2 linked regions of the Ovis aries genome follow. The protein of the gene in region 1 binds, or shares a complex with, the protein of each later gene. Links are inferred from orthologs where the notes say so. Each region holds a gene or a part of one and is shown on either strand. Other genes may lie near its edges.

What was found.
Region 2: ERC1 (region 1) and PPFIBP1 share a complex: the UniProt entries of both Homo sapiens proteins name them as parts of the cortical microtubule stabilization complex. The link is inferred for Ovis aries from reciprocal best matches to the Homo sapiens genes ERC1 and PPFIBP1.

Annotation. Positions count from the first base shown.
Region 1 is NC_056056.1:213,714,663-213,718,182, reverse strand, and holds part of ERC1 (ELKS/Rab6-interacting/CAST family member 1), read right to left. Parts: intron 1,924-3,520; coding exon 1,783-1,923; intron 869-1,782; coding exon 728-868; intron 1-727. UniProt on the Homo sapiens protein: Regulatory subunit of the IKK complex. Probably recruits IkappaBalpha/NFKBIA to the complex. May be involved in the organization of the cytomatrix at the nerve terminals active zone (CAZ) which regulates neurotransmitter release.
Region 2 is NC_056056.1:187,715,164-187,718,683, reverse strand, and holds part of PPFIBP1 (liprin-beta-1), read left to right. Parts: intron 1-126; coding exon 127-315; intron 316-1,521; coding exon 1,522-1,701; intron 1,702-2,407; coding exon 2,408-2,686; 3' UTR 2,687-3,520. UniProt on the Homo sapiens protein: May regulate the disassembly of focal adhesions. Did not bind receptor-like tyrosine phosphatases type 2A.

The DNA of each region.
Region 1 (3,520 bases):
AGAATGAGTGAGTGAAAGTCGCTCAGTTGTGTCCAACTCTTTGCAACCCCATGGACTGCAGCCTGCCAGACTCCTCTGTCCATGGGATTCTCCAGGCAAGAATACTGTAGTGGGTTGCCATTTTCTCCTCCAGGGGATCTTCCCAACCCAGGGATTGAACCCAGGTCTCCCACATTGCAGGTGGATTATGGAAATAGAACACCACCCAAAGTGTCAACACCAGGCTTGACCCCCCTTTCATCAGTAATCATATGAAGTGGACCCAGTTAATCAGAGTTGATAACTCAGAGATAATAAATATGCAAGTGCTTTGAAAACTACAAATGGCCGTATAAATATTACAGAGGAATAAATCAGTGAAACGAATAGTAAGTATCCCTACCATATTCTAATATTCACCATATGGGTGATTATCACTGTAAAATTATCTCTTTCCAGGAAGCCTAAAGCTAATGGGAGAAAAATATCAACTGAGATATTTTTACACTGTGGTCTTTTACATTTCTTTCTCTATAAAGGAGCTGCATATTTGAATCTTACTCTGAATTACTAATTTTCTAAGAGTTTGAGGACTCATAAGGAGTAAAGATATTAATGCTGAAAGAATTAATCAAGGTATAAATAGTATTATTACTCCATTAGTAAGTTATTCCATCCAAATATTATAAAGTTTTCTGCTTGTTCTTATCTGAAAGCAGAGCAAGAAAATGGATAAATATTCTTTAACCTTTTTCAACTGTGATTCCATCTTCAGACACTCCTCCTTCTTCTGCTCCAAAGCAATTTCTAGAGTCTTAAGCCGTGAGTCCTTTTTCAGTCCTGAGGAAGCCAGGGACGAGGCATGTTCTTTCAGATCCAAGAGTGAAGCCTAAAAGAAGCAACGCATATCTAGAATAAACACTATTTAGTAACCAAATGGAGACTGAACTTCTTAAATTTATTTTCCTGGTGGTTTCTAGTTTCTCTCCATTACCATAGACTGACATATTTCCAAGAACACAAAATATAAAACAGCAGCATTACCTCTGGCTTTCAAGTCCTAACCGAACAAAATGAATCCCCAAGAAAGGCCGACTGAATCGTGACTTAAGGAGTTCTAGCAATACATATCCATCCTCACAAAATAAATGGAAGAAGGTCAAGCTCTGTGGATATAAGCAGTCGACCTTAGTGGCCACGCTCATGTTTCTCTTTTAGAAGGAATATTCTATTAGAAACTTCAATTTCTATACATTTCTATTCTCCCTAAAGGTATTAAAAAGAAAACTCTGAGAATGTCCCTAAAGCTCATGACCATCTGATCATGAGGCATTAGGCACTTCTGCTGTTCAGGCGGCATACACGAGGTTCTCCGGAAGTGAGATGGAAATATATGAAGGCACCTATCTGGTCAAGAGTCGTGTAAGGTTTCCCTGCTGGTGTTGAGGTGATGCCTAAGAGTGGCTGTAAACAGACTCCTCCTAGTGCATATTCCCTCCATCTGTCACCTTTCTTACCAATGGCACGACATTTCTCCAAATGTACCTGGAGAAGTACTCTTATTTTGGAATCTACAAAGTGTCATTAACAAGTAAGAAACCAACTCCTGATAGCTGGAAGAGGTAGGAGGTAAGGCTTAGGAAATGAATCATTCCATCTAAGCTTCCTGAAACAGCGATGGCTCTAAGCAGATTCTGTAAACCTCCCACGAGACCCTTTCCAGCATGCGTTATGTCCACACCAGCAGCATGCACACAGTGTGCTGACTAAGCAGATCACGCACTCCCCTGGGGGGATGCCGACCTCCTTCTCTGAGAGGTCGCCCTGCAGCACGCTGACTTTCTCCTTCAGGTCTTTAAGGTCTTTCTTGTAGTTGTCAATTTCCTCCTGCTTTTCCCGCTCATCTCGGTCGCGCTGCTCCTTTAAGCGTTCAATCGTCCGCTCCTGTTAAGAGAGGACATCAGTGCATAGAAAATTCCTTTCTACTTCTACTTCATGACTACAATTCAGTTGTGAGCTCATGCAGTTTCACACTTCCATCCTCCACTTAAAGAAGACAGTGATAGGTCATTAATAATTTACTTTTTAAAGAATCCATCCTTTCTGCCTATCTTGCTGTAACACACATCTGGCTTTGTTCTTTTGATTCCCTTAGGTTTCTTTCCCAGTATTCTTAATTAGTATTAGATACCACTAAAGTATTCTTTCGAATAATCTTGTTTATTCAATTCCCAAGTAACAAAAAACTTAACATGTATATATGCCCTAAGGACCATAAGTACCAAATATTTCTTCTCTTATATATAATTCACATGTTGCTACAAAGCAATGGAAACAATTCCCACACCAAAGAGGAAGAGGTTGGAGAGATTATGATTTGTTGAGCTTAAGCATCAAGAAAGATAAAGAAAAAAGAAACCATTAAAACTTCTGTCAACAGATACTCAGGAAGTTTGAAAGCTGAAGCAATTTAAGTATATTTCTGGGTATTATTTCTGAATAGATTTGGGGATCAAGCCATGATCCCTGGGCAGGCAGCTTGAAGCATTCTGCATCCAAGAGGCTTAAGGAACAGTAACTGTATTCCTTAAATTTAAAAAAAAATTCCAATTAAAATGCCCCACCAAGAGTCTTTAAACCTTTTCCAAGACATTAACACTTGTCACACTGGACTACTTCTTTATTTACTCAATCATACCTGAAAAAACTAGGTTTGCTCACGAAAGTGAAGTTACTCAGTCGTGTCCAACTCTTTGTGACCCCATGGACTGTAGCCTACCAAGCTCCTCTGTCCATGGGATTCTCCAGGCAAGAATACTGGAGTGGGCTGCCATTTCCTTCTCCAGGGTGTCTTCCCGACCCAGGGATCAAACCCGGGTTTCCTGCATTGGAGGCAGACGCTTTAACCTCTGAGCCACCAATGAAATGGCAAGGCCACAACTTGAAAAACAGCAAGTACACTGTATTAAAAACTAAAGCCTGTGAAGACAAGAGGTCCCAGCACGGCACAGTGAGAGGACTAACGATGCCTCTCAATGGTCAGGGTCTGACATGCCCGCCTGACCAACGCCAGCTGATCATACAATCACAAGGGGCGTTTCTGAGAGAGCAGCACTGACACACACACTACCCGCGTACCGCAGACAGCCAGCGGGGAGCTGCCACACAGCACAGGGCTCAGCTTGGCTCTGTGCTGAGCCAGCGGGGCGGGTGGGGAGTGGGGACGGCAGCGTGCGAGGAGGCTCAAGTCGGGGGGCGTATACGTATACATTTAGCTCACTTTGTTGCACAGCAGAAACTAATAAAACACTGTAAAGCAATTATACTCCAATCCTATAATTAATTAAAATATTATTCAAATAAAAAAAGTTTGTCTTCAGCAGACAGTCAACAGGCAGCACATGGCTGATTCTCTAGAAACTTTAGCCCCTGCCCTCCAGCATGGACTCCACCCTGCCCAACAACAGATGCTTAAACTACCACCAATAAAATGAATCTTCTTTCCCTCTACTCTCAGCAGTACGGGCAGCTCTTCTCCCTT
Region 2 (3,520 bases), about 26 Mb from region 1:
CTGTCCTCACCAGGCTGTCAAGAGAGTCATTGGAGATAACTAAAGGAAAGAGCTTTGCAGGCTATAAGGCACAATCCAAGCATGTGTGATCCATGGTGCCTTCAACAATCCTAATTTTTCCTGTAGGTTCTAGAACCTCGTTTTAACGTAGAAACGATGGCTCAGTTACTGAACATCCCACCAAGTAAGACCCTGTTGCGAAGACATCTGGCCACTCACTTCAACCTTCTGATCGGTGCAGAGGCCCAGCACCAGAAGCGGGACGCCATGGAGTTACCAGATTATGTGCTTCTAACCGCGACCGCCAAAGTGAAGGTTGGTTCAAGCTCCCACCATTTTATAATTGCCTATAGCAAAGACTCAGTCTTGGCTCTTACCTGGCTATCCCATTTTCTTAGGTTTTCTAAGTTTTGTGAATGGGTTGAAGGTAAATGATTCTTCAAGAGTAGTTAGGAAAATGGATTTTTGAAGGCTTCCTTCTGGAGGGATCTTTGCTCAAATCACTTATTTTATTAGAGTAAACAGGAGTAAAGAATATGATGTTGGCATCTACCACTGATTTTTTTGCCAATGCGGAAAGTCCATGTCTTGGGTCCAATATTGATTGCTGTTATCCTGTGGATAAATCAAGCATAAGAGGAGGATTTTTTTTTCTCATAAATAACCAGACTTGCAAGTTAGGAAAGGATACTCAAGCAGTGATTCAAGGTAGACCAGCACAGAGTAGAAATCTTCAGATTTACCTGGATTCATGGATCATACCAAGTTCAGATCACTTTTTATTTTTTAAATCACTCTTCTGTGAACTCTTCTGAGTCTGTTATATCAATTAAATTAATGTGAAGATTGGGTTTATCAGTTCCTCCACAAACATGGCTCCTCCATGAACCCCTTTTAAAAGAAAAGAAAAAAAAAAAACACTCCCCCTACCCACTCAATACTTTCTCTTTAGCTCCCCTTCTCCCTTAAAAAAAAAAAGTGTCAGATTTGAAACCTCTGAAAGAGTCTGTTCTATATAAATTCTCAACATCAGCATCTCCTTGAAATACAGTCTCAGGTGCTATCCAGTGAAAAGATGGACTTTTTTCTTCTCTTAAAGTTTTCTCTCTGAAAATGAGGGCTTCTTTTGGCAGTTACTGGTATGGATAATCATAGTCTCACTCAAAAAGAAAATACAGTAACGGCTCTTTCCTCTTTTTGACCTTGGAAAATTGGATTCAGCCCTGAGAAATCTCATTGCATTAAGGTCAGTCACAATTAAGGCTCTTTGCTTTTCACAGTGACTACCCAGCTAGTGATGTGAATAAGGAGAACAAGCTTAATTTTCTGAGATTCATAATGAGGATCATTTATCATATTTGGGTGTTAATCATATGCTTGAGATGTCTTTGTTTTCCTTATACCCACTCAGTCATCAAATTGCATTTCTTGGTGGTGTGAATACTTAAATTATATGTGTTACTGGTCCTCTGTCATGTGAATTTTATCAAGTCCCTGGCTGTTCTTGTTTTTCTTTTAAAGCCAAAGAAGCTTACCTTCAGCAATTTTGGGAACCTGAGAAAGAAGAAACAGGAAGATGGGGAGGAATATGTTTGTCCGATGGAGTTGGGACAGGCATCAGGAGGGACATCTAAGAAAGGATTTAAGCCTGGTTTGGATGTACGCCTGTATGATGAGGATGACCTGGACCGATTAGAGCAGGTAAACCTAACACCATAGGCCTGTTTCAAAGTTCTTTCACTATTAAAACACTACGTTAAAACTTTGTGTGCTGTCTACTAACTAAAGATGTTTTCCTCAAATACCTAATAATAAAGATAATAGTAAGATAATAGCAAGCACTTACAGATTGTTTGCTATATCCCAGGTACTATCCTAAGCACATTACATGTATTAATGTTCAGGGTATCCTAAAACATAGGGAGCATTGTTATTCCCATTTTAGAGATAAGGAAACTGAAGCACAGAATGGTTTAGTAACTTCAGACAGAAGAGCTGGTAGAATTGCTGGGATGCCAAGCTGGCTTCAAAGCTTGTACTATTTACCTGTGTTATGCCTATCTCAGTATTAAGGAAATCTACATACTAAAACAAGTCAGGAATGGACACCTCTTACTCCTTAGCCTTTTCAGTATCAGGTCACGCATCTGAGTATTGCTTTCAAATGAATATTCTTTGGTGCCATTGTCAACATCAGAGCTTTGGGCTCAATGTGCCAGCAAAGTGTTTTTCTTCTTGTTTTTAATGTCCAGTTACAGTCGTAGGAGGAGATGGCTTCGGAAGTATTCTGTTGCTCCCACCCCATTCAGTGCCACTTGCGTTGTTTCTTCTTAGACTTGTGTTCATTTTGCTGCATTTTTCTTGAAATTGTGCAAATGAATGTCATGTCGTGGTGTGTTCATTGCAGATGGAAGACTCAGAAGGGACAGTGAGACAGATAGGTGCATTCTCTGAGGGCATCAACAACCTAACTGTAAGTTGTAAAATGAATTTCAAATGTTCTAAGAATAAGCTTGACAGTCACCCCAAGGGGGACTGCCTGTATAGTGGAGAGCTCAAGGTGCCTGGTGTGTGTGACTCCCACCTCCTTGTCTTCCAGCACATGTTAAAGGAAGATGACATGTTTAAAGATTTTGCTGCCCGTTCCCCCAGTGCCAGCATCACCGATGAAGACTCGAACGTCTGACCATAGCACCTGGATGAGAGCTGGGAGCCCTTCATCTTTGTTCCACTTTATTCCTCAGACACTCACAGTATCTACAGCAAGCCACAGACTGTGTATTGTTTATCATTCCCACTTCTCATGTGGAAGTGGAGATGGAAAGCAGGGACTAGGTGCTGATTCTAAAGTTGCCATGACAATTGAGACACTGGTGAATGAGAGTATAATTGTTTCTCCTCTATTTAATGTAAAAAAAAAATCTGTGATATATTATATTTAAAGTGTTGCATTTAATATGAGTATTTTACCATAGTCTTTCCATCCACATTCACAGCATGGAGGATTTGGGAAGCAGTGACCAGTATGTGAATGATTTTTGTCACGTCGATGTGATAGCACTGCGGCCCTTGAAGCAGGATGTTACATGCTTTTGAAATCAAATTGTGGAATTTCTTAGGCATTCAGTGTGCCCACTATATGCCAGCCACACCTCCACTTGCCTCTTATTGTCCTATTTTTATATATTTTTCTAAAATATATGTATATACTTAGTACATAGAAAATAGAACTTTTATTTTGTAACATAAGGAAGATGGTAAAAAGATCACGTGAAAAAAATACAATGATCAAAATTTTTGTATACCAGCTGTTTCTTGGAGAGGTCCAATGATCTTTCTTTCCCACAAACTGAATTCTAATGATGCTGATCATTCAGACTAAATTAACATATGTGAAATATCCCTTCTTTGATGACACCCCACAAAATTATTGAACAGCTTTTTAGAATTTCAGCCTTAGTCTTGGATCCTCTTAACTCATAAGGAAGAACCTGAGGGACATTTTAAGTGCTATTAACTT